Oryzias latipes: one gene and its partners. The protein of the gene in region 1 interacts with the protein of each later gene in a pairwise test. Links are inferred from orthologs where the notes say so. Each region holds a gene or a part of one and is shown in the gene's direction. Other genes may lie near its edges.

Region 1 (3,513 bases):
CATTTTCCACATACACAAAATAACCAGTTCTCTGAAATATTGTTCCCCAATCCTTCTAAATCTGTGATAGTGAGCACTTCTCCTTTGACAAGACAATCCATCCCACCTCACAGGTGTGCCATATCAAGATGCTGATTAGACAGCATGATTATTGCACAGGTGTGCCTTATACTGGCCACAAGAAAAGGCCACTCTGAAATCTTCAGTTTTGTTTTATTGAGGGGGTCAGGGGACTCAGACAACCAGTCAGTATCTGGTGTGACCACCATTTGCCTCATGAAGTGCGACACATCTCCTTCGCATAGAGTTGATCAGGTTGTCTATTGTGGCCTGTAGAATGTTGGTCCGCTCTTTTTCTATGGCTGTGCGAAGTTGCTGGATATTGGCAGGAACTGGAACACGCCGTCGTATATGCCGATCCAGAGCATCCCAGACATGCTCAATGGGTGACATGTCCGGTGAGTATGCTGGCCATGCAAGAACTGGGATGTTTTCAGCTTCCAAGAATTGTGTACAGATCCTTGCAACATGGGGCCGTGCATTATCATGCTGCAACACGAGGTGATGTTGTTGGATGTACGGCACAACAATGGGCCCCAGGATCTCGTCATGGTATCACGCTGTCTGCCATCTGCCCTGAACAGTGTAAACCGGGATTCATCCTTGAAGAGAACACCTCTCCAACGTGCCAGACGCCATCGCATGTGAGACTTTGCCCACTCAAGTCGGTTACGACGACAAACTGAAGTGAGGTCGAGACCTCGATGAGGACGACGAGCATGCAGATGAGCTTCCCTGAGACGGTTTCTGACAGTTTGTGCAGAAATTCTGTGGTTATGCAAACCGATTGTTTCAGCAGCTGTCCGAGTGGCTGGTCTCAGACGATCTTGGAGGTGGACATGCTGGATGTGGAGGTCTTGGGCTGGTGTGGTTACACGTGGTCTGCGGTTGTGAGGCCGGTTGGATGTGCTGCCAAATTCTCGGAAACGCCTTTGGAGACGGCTTATGGTGGAGAAATGGACATTCAATTCCCTAGCAACAGCTCTGGTGGACATTCCTGCTATCAGCATGCCAATTGCACGCTCCCTCAAAACTTGCGACATCTGTGGCATTCTGCTGTGTGAAACAACTGAAGATTTCAGAGTGGCCTTTTCTTGTGGCCAGTATAAGGCACACCTGTGCAATAATCATGCTGTCTAATCAGCATCTTGATATGGCACACCTGTGAGGTGGGATGGATTGTCTTGTCAAAGGAGAAGTGCTCACTATCACAGATTTAGACAGATTTGTGAACAATATTTCAGAGAACAGGTTATTTTGTGTATGTGGAAAATGTTTCACATCTTTGAGTTCATACCATAAAAAATGGGAGCAATAACAAAAGTGTTGCGTTTATATTTTTGGTCAGTGTATTTTCATTTGATGTCTGTTTTTTATGTTTGCGCCGTGTTTCAGAGATTTTTTTTTTTTATGAGGCTACAGCTTCAAAATTAGAAATCTCGTCCTCAATGTCACAGAAAAACATCTACTGTAAAGTGAAAAAGTCCAGTGACAGAAAACCGTTTGAAACTACATTAATTTGATTCCTTTTGACCAATAGTCTCCTTTTTTTGAATGTAGATAGATAATGGTTCCTGTTATCTTTGCTTTCATCGCATCCTGTGGAATCCCAGCAGAAGAAAATAGAACAAATAATAAATGCTGAATTATAGCTTTTGCAAAACATATGCTTTAAACTGGAAGAGTTATCTTTCAGTGCTGCTATGATGTACAAAAATATTTACCATCCATGTTAACTTAAAGATGAATAATGGCTTAGATTAGTATGTTAGGTTAATATTGTTTTTCTTATTTTGTTCAGTAAGTTTCCCTGTGGATTTTACAGGCTATTTTTAAGTGATCTTTTAAATCTGTAATCCAGGATTATATATTTGTAAAAAAATAAAGTGCCATATGATGTAACATGTCAGTTTTTTTAATCTAGATCTTTCTTTTCAATCTCAACCAACACATGATTGTTTTTACATTGAATATTTTTTCATAATACTTTATTTGTATGCTGATAAGAATCACAATTTTGACTAATTTTCTCCCCAGATTGTTATTTCTGATTCAGCGTCGGTTCCGTCGGTTTAGTTTCATAATCCTAACAGCTTTTGAAGTAGATTCTGGTTTAGGAATTTCAATAAAATCTCTTGAGAGTTCATTTTGTGTCTGTGCTGTGTGTAGAAACCCTTTAATACTGTGTAAACCGTTTCCTTCTGTCCCCCTTCAGTCAGGGCCAGAGCTGCAGACCTCCTGATTAACCCTCTAGACCCCCAAAACGCCGACTCCATCAGAGTCAAAATCGCTGACCTTGGAAATGCCTGCTGGGTGGTAAGACGCAATGTGAAATAATCTGACTGAGTTTGATTCAAACCAGGATTGTTTTAGTGTTATTTAATATACATCTGCTGTTTTTGATAGAGCTGCGGTAACAAGACAATTTCCGCTCTGTGGGATGAATAAAGTTCTATTCTATTCTATTTTATCCTACTCTATCCTAAATCCTTTGCACGGGAGTTCAGAGTTTCTTCAGACTTTTTATGCATAACAGTATAAAAAACAGCTTACAGTCTGCAAACATTTCTAATAAGAAAAAAAAATCCAACACAACCACTACAATTTAGTGGGGGAAAAAAACTAATATTTTTAGGTTGATTTGCTTTGCAGATTTGAGTAAATTTGACTGATGGAAAGAAGGATTTTGCTCAGAGTTAGGTATTTTTTCTCAGTTTCATAGTTGTTTTCTTCACGATCCCTCTAAATGAATTCTAAATAAAGGTGTCCTCTGTATTCACAAATGCTAGAAGCAAATTCATTAAATGTTATAAACAAATTTCCAAGATGTTAAAACTCCCAAACTCAGATCAGCAACGACAACAATCCTGGTCTCAAGTCAGTCACCAGGACAACACGATTTGATCATTATTTCTACCCTAAACTAAAGTCATTTTTCCTCTTGTTTCCTCTCATCAAAAGCATAAACACTTTACTGAGGATATCCAGACGAGGCAGTACCGGTCCATCGAGGTCCTGATTGGAGCGGGCTACAGCACTCCGGCTGACATCTGGAGTACTGCCTGTATGGTGAGGAAGGTTTATTAAGTAAACCGTCCACTGAAAGGAATCGCTGTTTTACTGTTTGCTTGTCTGTTTAGGCCTTTGAGCTGGCCACGGGAGATTACCTGTTTGAGCCTCATTCTGGAGAGGATTACTCCCGTGACGAAGGTGAGGATTTAAATCTTCATGTCCTACATCCTATGGATCCAGATTCATACTGTGATTCCCATGTTTGTGTATGAAAGCAAAGAAGCAGACACATCTGTGCTTTAAATACAGTGGTGGACAAAATTGTTGGTACCCCTCAGTTAAAGACAGAAAGTCCCCAATGCTCACTGAAATGACTTGAAACATTCAAAAGTAACAATAAGTTAAAATGTATTGAAAACTAAATAATCAAAATCAGCCATT
Region 2 (4,256 bases), on another chromosome or scaffold:
AGACAAGTTTTGGTAGGCTCTTATCATCATCTGCATCTCATTTCTGACCCGGCACAACAGCAGACCTCTCTCCGCACATTCAATGGTTACCTGTCTGATGAGTTCATCTCAAAAAGGAAATAAGATGCATAATACATTTATATTTCATAACTATCCACATTTTTACTCGGAGATGAGCTTTGTCCCGACCCTCCGCTGTCTTACCGAAACACTGGGAAAACAGAACCCAGCGGATGGGGCAGATGCCAGTTGGTTTGGCCTTTTTCTGCTTTAGCTTTATGTTCAGCTGCTCCTGCAGATGAATGACATCTTTCCTCGTGGTAATGGCTGTAGATACTTTCTGCACCCACTGTTGGTCCCCCTCTGTCCATTCTCTGTAATGGTAAGAAATCAGAATTTACTTGGAAAATCATTTGACAGTAACTTTTGGATGCTTTCGGGATCTTAGATTGTGTGTCAGCTTTTTATTTTTGAATTAAGTAAAAAGCAGACGTATGTGTGATAATGCACCTGTGGGCAATATTTGCTGTCAAGACTTGATCTTTTTAAGTTGATGAAAGTTGGACATTCACTGAGCTACAGGACCTTTCCTCTTTTCCTTGTTAGACATTAGGATTTGTTGGTGATCTTTGGATCACATAAAAACTACATTTGTTCCAACTGTAGCTGTTCCACTGTGTTGTTTAAAGTTTTTTGAGTTACATGGCATGAAAAGCATCTGTTTTACAAAAAAAAAGCCTGATTTTATTTGATTTCCCAGATTTGACTTTTGAGAAATAAAAGTTGAGGATGGTCATTGTGCTCTGGTGCATGCCACAGTCTATGTTTGTCTGCATAACTTAGGAAGAAGAATAAATAATAATGAATCTAGAATAAATAAATCTGAATCGTTGTGCTTAGGTGAGCTTTTGAGGTTTTCTTTTACCTAGGTGGTAAGATGGCATGCAAAATGTTTTCATCCAAATTCTGTGTAGGGGGAGATGGAACACCTGCTGCAAAGCTGGGAGCTGGAAGGTTGCTCAACGTTAGAGTACGTCCCTATTAACGAAAAAAAAGGGGGGAAAATTGTACATTTATTTGTATTATTATTTTTTTGTAATTTCTTTTATTATTTTTGAAGATTTTATTTGGTAGCCTTTCATTGTCCACAATAAAGAAATTATGGAAGTACAATGAGATTTCTAGCCTTAATTGATATAGTTTCTGGGCGCCAGTTAAATAGATCATTAACCATCAAGACTTACCTTTTGAGATTTTTTATCTCCTTTTGTTTTTACCAATATCGGATTATCGTATTTCAAGAGGGACTCGCCAAAAGAAGTCATCGTTTTGAGGTGAGAGAGCAAGTTACACGTTTTGTTAGAAATACCGTTTCACTGTTTGTGTTGTCATGGCGACACTTTTTCAAAATAAAATAATATTGATTTGAACAAAGTTTCATTTAAGAATACTTTTTATGTAATACGACACGTATATGTGTCATCAATGCTTCAGTCTATGACAAAAAAAACTTGAACATCACGTTTTCCCCATTTAAAACGAATTAGGCCATGGCGGAACCAACAATAGGGAGCACATGGAGCACGTCGAGGGGATTAATTTGAGTCACCGGAAACGGAAGTTTGTTTTCACAACGCCAGAAGTTTGGTAACGCATCAAAGGTTTTATTTTTTATCTTGGCTTGTCTTTGTCTAGCTACTGTGTCGTGTTTTGGTTGAATTGAGCTCAAATTTATTGGAAAAATAAACTAAAATGACTAAAGAAAAGCGAGACAGAAGAAGGGAGTCTCCAGAACGGCAGCCCGAAGTGAAGATAAAGCAGGAGAAACTGAGCCCGAGTAGCACTAGCAGGCCACACAGATCACGCAGTCCACAGGGGAGACGAGCTAGCAGGTAAATGTCTGAAGGTTTTACTACGATTCATGACGTAAAACTGTCTAAATATAAAACAATTCACAACATTATTTTTTTGTTGTACTTTCGCTGATGAAAATCTAGCTTCCGGTTTTCATTTTTGACGGTTACGGAATAAACACTTAACGTAAGGGATACCCGGTTGCTCCAAAAGAGTTTTGATCTGAGGTTTCTGTAAATCAAATAATCCTTAACACGTTTGTGTCAAAAGTAGTATAAGTATCTGACTCGTATCAAGTAAATCTTGTTTATTGTTCTAAGATATTTTATTACCGTCTTGCTGATAAATCAAGGTTAGACTAGAGACATAAAATTTGCTTTAATTTTTTTTTTTATTGAAATATACTCATTACAAAACTCTGGCAGACACAACAACACAATGATGCAAGGCACAGCTCTTCACGAAAAACAAAGATAAAAAAAAAACAAGAATGTATACATATATAAAAAAAACTATCAGCATAAATTAAAATACAAGGCAATCAACAATCTGGACCCTAGATTTGTAACCATTCTGTAGCAGATTTACAAATGTCATCAATGAAAGAATTTGAGTTGTGAATACATTTCAATGAGGATAAATACAATCTGACTTCATTTTTAAAACACAGGAAATTCGGCCGATCTTTTTTCCACTTTTGCTTATGAATATATTTTCCCAAAATCAGGAGGATGTTCACTATTTGTTGGCTCTTTTGGCAACTTACTGTTTTAAAACAAAATATGTTTTTCTGTGAATTGTATGTTGTTAATTTTTTGACTAAGCCAATTATGAAAATCTTGCCAGAATCTTTCACTGGTCTGGACATGAAAAAAACAGGTGTTGGGTTGTTTCTGGGGTTACCTGACAGAAATCACACGGATCAACCTCAAAGCCAAATCTACTTCTCAATGTCTCTGCCGATGGGTAATAATTGTTTATAATTTTGAACTGCATTTCTTTAATTTTGGGAACCACTGGCCATTTTATGAATTTCCATAGTTGAGCATCTGATGTGACAGGTGTCTCAGTTATTTTATATTTCACTTTTCTGTTAAAGTCATGGTATAATTTACCTCTAAAGGATTTGTTTAGCAATTTATTATCACGTTTTTTTTCACTAAATTTTATTTCTCCTATTACTAAATTTGGTAGTTTAATTTGAACATAGGAAGACAATATTGTATTTTTTATTAAATGTATTGAAGCAATTGGAATTGCTCAGCAGGTTTTCTGAAATTCCTCGGTTGAGCATTCAATATCATATTTACCTTTGAAGTCTCTTAACTGAAGAATTTCTCCATTTGAATCAAGAATATCACTTACAAAATGATCTTAAGATAAATATACTTTATTGATCCCAGCTTGGGAAATTGGGTTGATGCAGCGTCGGCGTTAGGCTCAAGGTACAAACATACAAACAATAGATGACAACAGAGAACCAGAACAATTTTATTTATTTTTTTATTTGAAATGGTTTATTTCAAGCAATTAAGTAGAAATAATACACAACAGCAATATAATCATCAGTTATACATTCATACAGTAACTAATCAAACTTAGGATAATTATACATATTAATAAATATTGCTTGAAAGGGAGTGGAAGGAAGCGAATTTATATAATCCCACCCCGTTATACTGTAACCATTTTATTACATGATTTATCAATATCCGGTTCCCAGTTTATATCATACAGAATTAAAAATCATAAGATATCGATAAAGCACATGACAAAGATGAATTACTTAAGTATTACGTCAAAAATAACTATTTTAGAAATCAACATGGCAAATGCAGATCAGTCATCTGAAATATATGCAGATTATGTTACTTATAAAAGCCATTCATATGAATAAAACATAATACTATATCAGTAAAGTAGACACAACACTGTTTCAGGAATTTTCATAGCAAAATTTCATCAAGTATCAAAAGTTAAAAACATGTGCAAAATTATGCTACATTAGGAAAGATTTTTGAATCAATTTATCAATTTTTGGAGAAAGTGAAATAAAATCATTAAAAGGCAATCAATTTAACAATTTTCAATAAGTCATTAATCATTTGTTTTACTTTTTTAAATATTTTTTTTGTATTTTTATTATTATTTTTTTTATAATAAAGTAATGCTGTAGGGGGAAAGTAAAAAGGGTCCATAACTGTCGATTGTCCAAGGTTGGTCTTTCTTCTTTAACTGATAACAGCCGTACTTCTGGGTTCAAAACAGAGTTTATAGTTCTCTTCGATGTTATGACTGCAGACATTAGATTCAGGTCCATATCCTTCTTCAGCTGATATCAGCGACGGTGAAAGTTGAGGTCAAGTTGTCTGCAGGTCAGAACTCTCTGCTGTTATTCAGGT
Region 3 (3,951 bases), on another chromosome or scaffold:
TAGACACATCGTCACCTGTATGTAAAAAGACAACAAAATAGGAATTGCAAAGCACTGACAGCTTATTATTTGACATTTATGAAATGTTGTTGGTAAAGGAGTGAATACGTTTAATTTACTATAACGCCAAAACGACCAACTGCCATCACAGCAGACAACACTCACACAGGATGGCAGCAAAAAATGATCAATCCATCATTACAGTTCAATGTGACGAAACACTTTGAATTATGCAAAGACATGTGACCATACAGCGTGGCAGAATGTTCTAAAAATGTTCCCTTTGGATTATTTTGATGTGGAAAAACATTAGTGGGATGAACTTTATGAAAATAAAATGTGAATGGATTTTCCATTAATTCTTGTTTACTTGTTTGTTTGTTTTTACACTTGATTATCTTGCAAGAAATAGAAGGAATCTGGAAAACTTCACCTGCACCGTTCAGTCTCCAGGTGTTTATCTCTAAGTATCACTGGTTGAATTTTTGGCTAAAGATGTCCTCGATCGAGTTTAGGCCAGTGAATCGGATCAACTCAGATCATTCAAAATGAACCAATATTAACTATGAATCATATCAGCAAACATGAATTATGATATGAATAAACACCATGAATCGTTACATCCCTACTAGAAAGACGAACTCTAAGAAATTAATATTTTGCATAACAGGGCCTGATAGAGCTCATCTAAACATGATCTGTCCTGCCTGTCTGTGTGTAAAAAATGGGCTATTGCTTGATGAACCGTAAATCATTCAAAGTATACAGCAGGATGCTGACAATTCTTCTGAATCTATCCGCAGTGCTTAGGGCTGAGTTTTGTGTTGATCTTTCTTAAGGATCTATCACTAAAATCCAGTTTGTAGTTGTTTAATTAAATTGTGTAAATGACCGTTGATTGAAACACAAAAGCTTTAAGCATAACATTTAAAATCTACAGTAAGTTTTGGATATTTAACTATATTAACATGTATTTTTAACTGAAACACGTCGTTTTTAAGTTCATACATTTAGAAATATTCTCCCAATAACCATTACAGAGAAAGTCACATGCAGGTGTTCTGTTGTTTTAATCAGAATTCAATCACAGAATTGTCTCCATGCAGCTCCAAACACAAGCCAGAACCACACGACGTTCTTCTACCGGAAACGCAGCGTTCATCAACTTCCGATGTCACGGGGTATCTGGGAGTCGGAGCAAAAAAGCGGGCACAACAAAATCTTTGCTGTTTTTGTAGACTTAAAACAGCAGAAGGCGTAAAGATTTGGATTATTGCGTCACATAAACACATATTGTGGGCCTGTGACTAAGCTGGATTCGCTTTGGGCTTCGAAAATAGTCTCATTTATTCGGATTTCGTAGCCTAGCTAGCAGCTGAGCCTCCTCGGCGGTGTGGAGCAGCAGGCCTTTCTTCTGGACTTTGCTACAAGCTAGTTAGCTGGCGTTAGCGGGCTAACTTAAGCGAGCACGTTTTTCCTTTTTCCGTATTTGTATGTGTTACATTTGAGCAAATACCACGTCACTAATGTGTGTGATACCACCTATCGTTTGATAGGTTTGTTTTTGAGCCGTGTTTTTGCTAACCGAGGTTAACTTTCCGAAGCGCTATCATTGAAGCGCTTGAATCTCAAAGTGCTCACTTTCTTGCTAGCTTAAGCTAGCCTCCGCCAACCGAACAACGCAGTCTTCGAAAGCGTAGTAGGTTTCTATCCAGAGATGTCGGATTTCGACGAATTTGAAAGACAACTGTCTGAGAACCATCAAGGTAAATGGACTAGTTACACAATTAACAATGATTGCAAAAGAGGTACATGTCATTTTTATCTCTATGGTTAGCACGTCGCGGACGTGTCTGTTTAACTGGCCTATGATCAAATAGCCTCTAAATGTACAACGCAGCTTTACAAGTTTATCGATGTTTTCCTGTAATCTGGCTTTCGGTACTGTTGTATAATGCTATTAACATTAAAATGTTTTCAATTTTGTATTATCTTGAACTCCATCGTGGTATTATTATGGCATGTCCGATTCATGTGGCGTGTAATAATATTTAAGCGGTGCTTTCTGTCATTGAATTATCATTCAGCCGCTCGTGCTCGATAGTTCCTTTTTACAAGTTCAACTGTTTATCTTTATACATTCTCTACTGCAGTTTTTGCAATAGTCCTTTCAGTTTCATATTGTGTTTATGCTACTGATACAAATTCTTGCTTCTTTAATATAGCTGGTTTCCTGTACTCTCCTCTTTTATCTTCCTTTTTTTCCCACCTATCTGCAGATGCATCGTCTTGTAGCATGATTAACATAAAAATGTACTTTTAAGAGAAATAACCTCATTTATGCACATTTTCCTTCTACTTGATTACTACTTGATTTATCTTTTCACTTTGTGTTCATACCTGTAAGACCATTTATGAAAATTAAAATTAAACATCGAGAACATGTCTAAATTCAGCTCGCTTTAATTTGCTTTTATGAACAATATTTCTGGGGTTATGTTTTTTAAGAAGATTTTTGTTTTAATGAAAAACACTTTATACTTTTATACTTCATAGTTACTGAGCACCGCTCTTTTGCCACAGAAAGGGACAAAGAAAACCGGCACCATCGTCGTTCTTCATCCCGCAGCCGCAGCAGAGAGAGGAAGAAGAGGAGCAGGGATGGCGGGGAAAGACGCAGCAGGGACCGCCGTGGGGACAGTAAGGAGCGGAGACACCGGCGCAAGTCAGTACATCTACACCAATCCTCCTGTTTAAAAACAAGCTGTTATGTGTAAAATCTCTTATCAACTGTCCAGCAATAACATGGCAACGTTAAGTCTCTTTATTAACTTTATTGTAATGTCTGCAGTCTACATGCATCATTACATTGTTCACACAAATGCACCAGTTATGTATGTTTGTTCTGATGAGCTTTTGATTTCATTTGATTTATTCGTTTTTTTTTCCCTACTTCTTTTGAAATTAGAAGAGAATTCTCACTTGTTTGTTTTGAAGTGCATTGATATTCAAGTGTGACTGGAAATGCAGTGTTTTTTATTTTATTTATGAATCATAACTCAAAAAGTTTGTTTGATTCATATAAGAAATCTAAATCTCTTCCTCCAATTTGTCATTTCAGCTCGCCACCCGCCTACCCTCAAGAAAATACTGCAAGGTAACAGAAAACTTAACACAAAGCTGGCAGTTGCAGAAACTGTACATTGACACTCCTATCACTTTAAAGACAATTTACACATGTTCAAGTAATTTGTTTTTGGGTATTGTCCATTTTTCTGTCTTTTTTGTCACTTTTACTATGTTGAAATCGATGCAACCTTCTTTAAAAAAAAGTTCATTTTCTCCTAATGTTTATTTTTTTTTCTTCCCTCTTACAGCCGATCTCCCCATCGTGAAAAGAAGAAGAAGATCAAGAAGTATTGGGATGTTCCTCCTCCTGGTTTTGAGCATATCACTCCCATGCAGTACAAAGCCATGCAAGGTAACTCTTATCTGTTTCCAGTGTATTTAATTCACAAATGTGTACACATAACATGCTAAAGGCCTGTTCACACCGGGACGAATTTCGCCGGCGATTTTCGCCGACGTTTAACGCCTCGTGACTAAACAAAGGGCACGAAAAAACGTGCACGCGTTAAAGCGTAAAAAAAAAAACGCCTCGGGTTCGTTTTTTTTTCGACGCGACGCGTCGCGTCGAAATCTACTCGACCAATGAGAATGGCACTTTTGCTCACGTGTCTGGAGCTTCTGAAGTTACAGTAAAACACAACTTGGGGGCGCTCAAACACAAAACTGCCTTGCTGAGCACACATACCAGCGAAGAAGATAGACGCCAAGTAGCGTCTACACAGCCGCGAAGCAATAATGACGGACATTCTAAAATATCCCCGAACCAAGCACCAGTTGGAGCTACTGGTGCTTGAAATATTCATGTTTTCTTTGTTTGATTCT
Region 4 (4,081 bases), on another chromosome or scaffold:
CTCGTTTTGCTGATCCACCTGATAAGAAAGAAAAAATGAACTGGAAAAACCTGCTTTAATATTGATTGACATCAAATGTATATATTTTAAAACAGGACATTTTGGAATTTCAAAACTGTGATTTATTTTTCTCAATTTACTGCCAGTCTCACTGATGGGTTGATGTCCCTCAGGAAAAAACACAAACTGAGGGGAAAAAAAGCTGTGTTCGTGTGCTGTTAGTACGATCGGACTGTCCTACAAGGAAAACACACATGAACGTCAGAAAAACAACAAATCTTCCAACTTCACCTGAATGCAAAATAACTTTTATGCACCTAAACAAAGGTACATGTATTTGTAGTGCACCATCTTGGGACTCACCAGAAAATAAAACATTAATCTTTCTGGCGAGCCGGATTTAATAGTTTCATGGCTGCATGTGAAACCCTTGGGGTGTAGTTTGCTCACCTCTGCTTTAGGAAAATGTGATAGTATGTATTTATTGTTTATTTAAAAACTAGCATTTTCTCTAGTGTGAAATTGCATTTTTACTATTGACAGAAGCTGCTTTCAAAATAAAAGACGCAAACAGGATCTTCTCAGTGCAGTTCGTGTACTTCCATGAAAGGTTTTTCTCCAAGGAATCTGAGGTCGGCTTCACAAATACTGCAGACAGTGATTCAAACCTAATCTTTAGCCGCAGATCTTCAGAGGAGCAGCACAGACATCAGTAGCAGACATTGCATTAGGGGCCGATACGTGGCGTTTGCGCTATCTGTGCGGTTTCCCCTGCTGGTCCCACAGCTGCCTCCTTGTCCAAATCTGGATATCTTCTCATTCAGCTGCTTCAAATGCCCCAGCATTCTGTTACATTTGTAGTGAATGGGGGAGGGGGGGGGCATCTAGGGGGGATATTAGGAGCATGTTTTATATGCATGAACGTTTTCTTGCAGCTCCAGCATGGTGTATAGTATATATAGTAACCTGTGGTGGTGGTGTTTACACAATAAGTGGGGGTCCTCGCTCATTCATGAGTGGGCTAACCTGGACATGGGAGCCAGTCCATATGAGTAAATGTTTGATTGACACGAACAATCAACCAATGAATGACGTCGGTAGGCAACTGTCTGGATTTCATTGGCCCCTTCGCTGGACCAGCCCTTATTTGCTAAACCAATTAATGGGATCTGGAAGTGATTGTTGACCGTTCTGACCAATCAGAAGGCTAATAGGGGGCAGGACGGGCGGGGCTTCACTGGGAGGGGGCGGGGCCTTTCAGGTCATTCAGTCCCTTTGCGATTCAGTCAATCGGCGTGTTTGCGGGGATTGGTGGCTGCTGTGAGGAGTTGCCGGGCGGTGGTGCTTTGAAAAACGCCTTTGTGAAGAAGAGACGCCGCTGAGAACCACGCCACCGACCGAAGACACGGCCGCCCCGGTGACGACGCGCGCGAGACTGTTCCGCGCGGAGATTACGCCACACGCACGAGCCCTCAAACGCAGCCAGGCTATCTGACTGTAGCATGCTAGCACTCCCGAAAACAGACGCTAGCCTCCAAGCTAATTACCCATCAGTCATCGTCCTCCGGCTCCTTGGGCATCGTTAGCTCGGTTCTGCTGGTGCCGGCGCCTTTGTTGTCGTCGCGAATTCTCCAGAACCGACCCAAAGAGAGCGCTGTTCTCCCCCCTCAGCTGGCAGTGGCAGTAGTAGTCTGCGTCGCCGCGGTTCAGACATCATCCCTGCCATCGGTCCGGACCCGTCACCTCTCTCTGCCCCTTCTTGTCCTCCACCCGGAACACTGGAAGTCCACAAGCGGCCGGATAGCGGCGAGGGGCCGGCGAAGCTGGGGGCGGGAACGTTACCGGACTCGCAGCCGCAGGGAGCCGTTACGCCAACGGACGACAAGCAGCAGCACAGCCGCGCGGACTCACCGGCGACGGGGATGGACGGGCTGGCCGTGGAGGTTCGCGGCTCCAACGGGGCCTTCTACAAGGTAAGCGGGGTTTCTACCGCCCGCCTCAAAGTCCGGCTTGGCCAGAACCGGCTTCGGAGAGCCAGAATAATTGGGGCCCAGCTGAGCCCGAGTCAGTTAGCTGCGGGTTTGGAGCGGTTCGACCGGGTCGGGTTAGCTAGCTTTGGTTAGCGGGGTGAAGCTAGGTCCTCCTACTCGTCGTCTTCACGCGTGGCCCGTTTGGGTCACGTTGGCGGGACAGTTCGGTTGAATTCGGGGTGTTTGGTGGGAGGAAGGCTCGGTCCTGTGAACGGGGTGGGTTTCGATGATCCAGACAGCTGTCGTGAGGTCGGTGAGGTGATGCTCCGTGAAGAAGCGGAGTGACCTCACCGCCACCATCATCATCATCATCATCATCAGTCCTGCTTTGGGCTGCTGATGCCTCACATGAGGAAGGGCGACGGTTTCTGTTTCAGTTCTGGCTGATCTTACTGAGAAACCAAACCTAAGGCTTCCCCCACCCTCTGTGCTTCCACTGAGGGGGGGTTATTATTGTTATTATTCTATTTATTTCAATGGAAACGAGTAGACTCCTCATCTGCTTCCACACATCTGAACCGGTTTGTCCCACAGGCAGACATGGGTCTCCAGTGGTCTGGACTTTGGTAACTCGGGGGTTCCATGTGCTCCATCTACCCCCCTCCCCCTGGGTTCAGTGATGGTCCTAAATTTACTCCTGTGCAGCTTCACCTGTTGTGTGTCTTACTGGTTGTCAGTGCGCCGTTGGCATGAATGACGGTTTTCCACTTTAGCGTGAGGCTCTGACCGCCACAGAACTGCCTCATTATTCGCATTTTAAACAGCAATTAATCCAAGCATTGACCTCCAAACAAAAGGTATTAATCGGAGATGCAACCATTCACTTTCCCCACGTCTCTGTTCGCGTGTTACAAATAGGGCTGTAAGAATATCACTTGTGGTTCCGGTTTATTCTTGATATCTTTTCATTCTGATTCTCTGACCTGAAGTGGATCCAGATCCTCTTGATCCAAACTTCCAGCAGTGAGACTCAGACAGAAATTCCTGCTACTGAACAGTTTTCCAGATTCTTGGATTTCTTCCAGATCATCAAGTTAAATGAAATCTGTGTCCAAACCAACAAGTAAACTAGAATGAATGTCAAATCCATTCACATGTTAGTTTCCTAAACTTCAGCGCTGTTGTGTTTCCACATCCAGAGAATCCAAAGGGAACATTCTAGCACAGGGGTGGGCAAACTCCGGCCCGGGGGGCCACACGTTAAAGGATCTGATCCGGCCCGCCAAACTGGGAAAAGTTAAATTGATCATCCTTACAAAGGTTTTATTTTTCCTGTAATTCATAAATGGTGCTCTGCAGATAAAGTGAGCTTTACTTTGGTGTAGAAAGTAATTCAGCACTCGTGTTGGAAGATCTGTTGTTTTTCAGATGTTTCTGACAATTCCAACCGCACCTGAATGCAGCATTTCTCTAATTTGGCTTATTTCCCCCCTGAGGGACATCAACCCATTGGCTCTAAAATGAGAACAAAATCATCCAAATATGTTGCGTTTTAAAATAAAATCATTTTTTATTAGTTCAAGCATGTTTTCATCCAGATTCCGTGTTATTTCTTTCTCTGACGAGGTGGACGACACGCCACGCATCAGCTGCTGGTCCGGCCCTCGGCGGCCCACGAGTCCCCGCCGTTGTTTAGCTCACTGGATGGTCACATGACTATATTCAAAGTGTTTCCACACGTTGGACTGGAATGATAGACTGATCCGTGTTTGCTGATGTCATCCCATGTGTTGTCAGCGGTGATTGGTCGTTTTCAATCCAAATGGTATTTTCCAATATCAACATAAGCGATTTATTTCAATGATTTTTACGACTTTGATTCGATGAACAACTTTCCTCAGGCGGATCCATCAGGTTGGATCGTAGGAACAGAAATCCGTTCATGGTTTCACCCCCACAAGAGTAAACCAACCTAAATGCTAGAACAGACTGAGCATCAATGAGTGTAGCTTAATGTCAGGATTGAGTTGAGGGTTAAATTCCCTTTTGCCTGCAGTGACTGCAAGGCACCAGGCGTGGCAAACAAAGGACCTCGGTACCGGTGTCATTCC
Region 5 (3,990 bases), on another chromosome or scaffold:
CATAAAATAAAGAAGATGAAAAGAGAAAATCAGTTACACCCCTGTTGGAAAATCTTGTTTCAAATTTACTCAGGAGAATAACAAAGTCATATGTGCCTTGTTTCAACGAGATGTTATTTCAGAACATTTTGTTGTCTTTTAGTGAAATACTTTTGTCTCTGACTTGCTATGGAAAGAACTTTCATTGCATCAGAAATAGTTGATTAATGACAAGATGAGCGATATCTCCTCTCAATTTCTGCACAGAATAATACTAGTCAAGATATTTAACATTGTAAAATATATTAAAGTTTGTTAACATTCTGTGAAAGAAAACCCAAAAACTCAGTCACCTACTTTGGAATTGTAATATTTATTAAAAATCTTTTGATTAGACTGTACATATTTAAAAAATTGCAACAATAACTCAAAATGCGATGCTCCAGTGCTGTGACTATATGTAAGGTCTGCATGGATTTGTATTATAACTTTTTCATTCATCCACACTTGTGTCGTGTATGTTTACAAAAAAAGTTGGCAAGAAAAAAAAAACAACAACGATATATATATATATATATATATATATATATATATATATATCGTTTTAAGATCTGAATTTACTAAATATTAAATTTTTCCAAAATACAAAGAAATCCATTTTAAAATAATGTATGCAGTCTATCCATACAAGGAACTACTATACATATACGTTTTGGTTTTCCAGAAAATAACTGTTCTTTCTGTGACATAAATATAGAAACACTTGATCATCTGTTTTTTTGAATGTATATATGTTAACAGTTTTTGGGAGAATTTCTTTTCTTGTTGCTCCTCAAAGTTTCCCTTTCCTATTTATATTCAATTACAAAAGCAGATCATATTATTTGGAGTAGTTTCTGTTGATAATATATTTGATTTGACATTCAATACTTTATTAATATCTGGGAAATTTTTCATTGATGAGAGCAGATTTTCAAAAACAAAACCATTATTCAATACATTTCATATTGAGATCAGTTTATATTAAAAATCTCTGATATTAATAAAAAGCAAAAATGCAATAAAATGTCTATTTTCATTGAAGATCACGCGTTGTATGAAAATCCCTTGTATTGTAAACTACAATTATATTATTTTTATTTATTTATTTATTTCTATTTTCTTCTTTTTTCTTTTTTTCTGTTGTAGCTTTTGTGTGTGCGTTTGTTTAAAGTTAAAATAAAAAATTACGTAACATCCGCTTTCATCATCACTTCGCGACCTCACACCAGACCGCAAGTGAAGCCATTTTTGGCCGTTGGAATGTAAGATTAACCTTTTTACGTATTTTCGATCTAAATAGCTTTAATAGCGGAACTTGTTGATTTAAACATGTAAGTTCGGAGGCTTTTTTATTTTGCGCGAAAGTTCCTTATAAAGGAAGAAGTCGTTTAACCGCGACGCGGGTGTAGTTTAGTCCCTTGTTGTGCTCAAAAAAAACAACGAGGGAACGAGTCCAAATAGAAGGTTTTTTTTTTTCTGAATGAAAATATTAGTGTAAGGGAAAATATTATGTAATTTACGGTCCTAAACATTTGGAATTAAGCTTAAAATAATTACAATTTATTGTGCACATGTTAAATGTCGGTAAAAAAAAAAAAAACACCGAAACAATTTTGAATTAATTAGATAAAAATGAAATGAAAAAGTTATATATATTCAAGTAATTAACGAGTTAAATTTAATTAATGACCTTTTTGGTGCAAAAAATTTGTATCTAGCACATTTTAAGGCTGTTTCTCTCTATCCAATAAAAACATAAATCACAATCCTTTACATAAACCTAGACATAATCACTTTTTTAGGTTTCTAGGTCTCTAATTTATGTGCTTTCTCGCCACATCAGGGCACCATTACCGATAAAGCGAAAGGAAGATGAAAAGAAAAACAGGGAAAAAGAAAAAATAAAGGAAGGAGACAAGGAAAGGGGTCGCGACAAAGCAAAGAAACGCCGCAGTGCTTCATCAGGCAGCAGCAGCAGGTGAGCTATTTTTTCTTTCTTATATTTAAAAATATAATATAGCATCCTGTCCTGGATGTTCATTCCCAACTAAATCATTGTTTGTTTTTGACCTTCCACATCTAGATCTAGCTCATCCTCCAGCAGCAGCTCTGGTTCTAGCTCTGGTTCTTCAAGTGGTTCCAGCTCCTCTTCCAGTCGCTCCGGATCCTCTAGCTCTCGGTCTTCCTCCTCCTCCAGCTCTTCGGCCTCTCCAAGTCCCAGCCGCAGACGCCATGACAACCGACGCCGTTCACGATCTCCGTCAGTCCATTTTCTCAGACATGAGACAAATATTTATATTGTATCTCAAAAATATTGACAATATTTATTCTGTAATTTTTTATCCTGCAGTTCTAAAACACAGAAGAGAGGAGAAGAAAGAGAACGAAGAAAAAGAAGTCCCACCCCTAAACCCACAAAGGTTCACTTGGGAAGGCTGACCAGGAATGTAACCAAGGCAAGCTAAAAAAACAAACAAAAGCTAAATCTTTGATTTTTAAAAAAAAAATTCTAATTCAATAAAAGCAGATCTTATTTTTCATGATAACTAGTTAGAATGAAATATTCTTTATGTTTATTGTCTGTCAAGATGTGCGCCTAAAACTGCAAGAATTAAATAAAAAGCTAAATATTTTGTTTTTAGTTTTTTTTAATGGAACAATCCTTCACAAAATAATGGTTAAAAACTAAATGTATGTTTCAATTTACTAGGAACACATCCAGGAGATTTTCTCTACATATGGAAAAATTAAAGCGGTTGACATGCCGGTGGAAAGGCTCTTCCCAAACCTGACCAAAGGCTTTGCTTACGTGGAGTTTGAGACCCCTGAAGAAGCCCAGAAAGCTCTTAAACACATGGATGGAGGTAGGAAAGAATCATTTAAGGGGCTGGAGAAATCATATTGACGAACATAAACTTGGTCAGGTAAAAACAAACCTTCCTGATGACTTTTTTAGGTCAGATTGACGGGCAGGAAATCACTGCAGCTGCTGTGCTGACTCAGCTGATCCGTGGTCCTCCACGTAGACTGTCTCCTCCTCGAAGAATGCCGCCACCTCCACCGATGTGGCGCCGCAGCCCACCACGCATGAGAAGAAGGTTATTTAAAAGCTTTCACTTGTACCTTTTTAATATTTTTAACGTTTTATTATGCGGTCCATTGAAACGGAATCTTCTCCCACCTACTGATGCTCGTCCTTTTTTTGTGCCTGTTTAGATCACGCTCCCCAAGGAGGCGCTCGCCACCACGTCGCCGCTCTCGCTCTAGGTCTCCTGGCCGCAGGCGCCATCGCTCTCGTTCAAGCTCAAATTCCTCCAGATAGAAAGTTGTCTTTACTCTAAATACTCGCCGCAGATCAGCTGCAGTTTTCGCATTTCCTGGCTCCTCGGACACAAAGGATCTATATAAATTGCAGTAAATTTAGCTGAGTTCGTAGTGACAAGGAGACGAGAAAAATTCTTTCTTTTTTTTTAAATTTTGTGCTGAAAATTGACTGTAGTTTTTATGTTATGTCTGATGACATCTAACAAGATTTTGTGATTCCTTCATTCGAGTTGATTTTTTTTTTTGAAGAATTTTGAGAATAAAACCTATGAAACATCTTGATTCTGATTTCTGTCATCTTGTGATCCGGCTCAACTATTATTCTGATTTCTAGTCACAAAAATACTTTTAACCCTTATGTGGTGTTCGGGTCTGTGGGACCCGTTTTCATTTTTTATCAAAAGAAAAATGATACAATTAATTAATTTTTCAAACTCAGACTCACTGGCCTTGGCTCATTTTCTGTGAAGAACAGATATCAGAATACATTTTTAATGACCACACACCGTATACCCCCCCCAACACATTTCTATTACATATAAGATGTTCGGGTCCACTGGACCCAGGGCTAATAGAAGTGTGGAAATTGATGTTTTTATGTACCTACACTCTGTCCTCCACCTGTCTGGGCCTGCTGTGTGTGTG

The links.
Region 2: the proteins of SRSF protein kinase 2 (region 1) and snip1 interact in binary tests that used the Homo sapiens proteins (3 or more experiments, as listed by UniProt). The link is inferred for Oryzias latipes from reciprocal best matches to the Homo sapiens genes SRPK2 and SNIP1.
Region 3: the proteins of SRSF protein kinase 2 (region 1) and u2af2 interact in binary tests that used the Homo sapiens proteins (3 or more experiments, as listed by UniProt). The link is inferred for Oryzias latipes from reciprocal best matches to the Homo sapiens genes SRPK2 and U2AF2.
Region 4: the proteins of SRSF protein kinase 2 (region 1) and fragile X mental retardation syndrome-related protein 1 interact in binary tests that used the Homo sapiens proteins (3 or more experiments, as listed by UniProt). The link is inferred for Oryzias latipes from reciprocal best matches to the Homo sapiens genes SRPK2 and FXR2.
Region 5: the proteins of SRSF protein kinase 2 (region 1) and rnps1 interact in binary tests that used the Homo sapiens proteins (3 or more experiments, as listed by UniProt). The link is inferred for Oryzias latipes from reciprocal best matches to the Homo sapiens genes SRPK2 and RNPS1.

The regions. Positions count from the first base shown.
Region 1 is NC_019864.2:11,774,236-11,777,748, reverse strand, and holds part of SRSF protein kinase 2, read left to right. Parts: intron 1-2,275; coding exon 2,276-2,376; intron 2,377-3,021; coding exon 3,022-3,129; intron 3,130-3,200; coding exon 3,201-3,270; intron 3,271-3,513. UniProt on the Homo sapiens protein: Serine/arginine-rich protein-specific kinase which specifically phosphorylates its substrates at serine residues located in regions rich in arginine/serine dipeptides, known as RS domains and is involved in the phosphorylation of SR splicing factors and the regulation of splicing.
Region 2 is NC_019874.2:23,603,906-23,608,161, reverse strand, and holds the start of snip1 (smad nuclear-interacting protein 1), read left to right. Parts: upstream 1-1,448; 5' UTR 1,449-1,576; coding exon of another isoform or gene 1,577-1,647; 5' UTR 1,648-1,752; coding exon 1,753-1,892; intron 1,893-4,256. Other genes in the region: dnali1 (axonemal dynein light intermediate polypeptide 1), read right to left, coding at 1-107, 205-374, 926-1,038, 1,245-1,325. UniProt on the Homo sapiens protein: Required for pre-mRNA splicing as component of the spliceosome. As a component of the minor spliceosome, involved in the splicing of U12-type introns in pre-mRNAs. Down-regulates NF-kappa-B signaling by competing with RELA for CREBBP/EP300 binding.
Region 3 is NC_019874.2:19,813,357-19,817,307, reverse strand, and holds the start of u2af2 (splicing factor U2AF 65 kDa subunit), read left to right. Parts: upstream 1-1,142; 5' UTR 1,143-1,717; coding exon 1,718-1,766; intron 1,767-2,556; coding exon 2,557-2,725; intron 2,726-3,121; coding exon 3,122-3,157; intron 3,158-3,377; coding exon 3,378-3,481; intron 3,482-3,951. UniProt on the Homo sapiens protein: Plays a role in pre-mRNA splicing and 3'-end processing. By recruiting PRPF19 and the PRP19C/Prp19 complex/NTC/Nineteen complex to the RNA polymerase II C-terminal domain (CTD), and thereby pre-mRNA, may couple transcription to splicing.
Region 4 is NC_019876.2:28,852,820-28,856,900, forward strand, and holds the start of fragile X mental retardation syndrome-related protein 1, read left to right. Parts: upstream 1-1,271; 5' UTR 1,272-1,922; coding exon 1,923-1,973; intron 1,974-4,081. UniProt on the Homo sapiens protein: mRNA-binding protein that acts as a regulator of mRNAs translation and/or stability, and which is required for adult hippocampal neurogenesis. Specifically binds to AU-rich elements (AREs) in the 3'-UTR of target mRNAs.
Region 5 is NC_019866.2:11,024,508-11,028,497, reverse strand, and holds rnps1 (RNA-binding protein with serine-rich domain 1), read left to right. Parts: upstream 1-1,189; 5' UTR 1,190-1,281; coding exon 1,282-1,283; exon of another isoform or gene 1,284-1,350; coding exon of another isoform or gene 1,351-1,352; intron 1,353-1,864; coding exon 1,865-1,999; intron 2,000-2,104; coding exon 2,105-2,281; intron 2,282-2,371; coding exon 2,372-2,477; intron 2,478-2,731; coding exon 2,732-2,885; intron 2,886-2,977; coding exon 2,978-3,119; intron 3,120-3,237; coding exon 3,238-3,343; 3' UTR 3,344-3,627; downstream 3,628-3,990. UniProt on the Homo sapiens protein: Part of pre- and post-splicing multiprotein mRNP complexes. Auxiliary component of the splicing-dependent multiprotein exon junction complex (EJC) deposited at splice junction on mRNAs.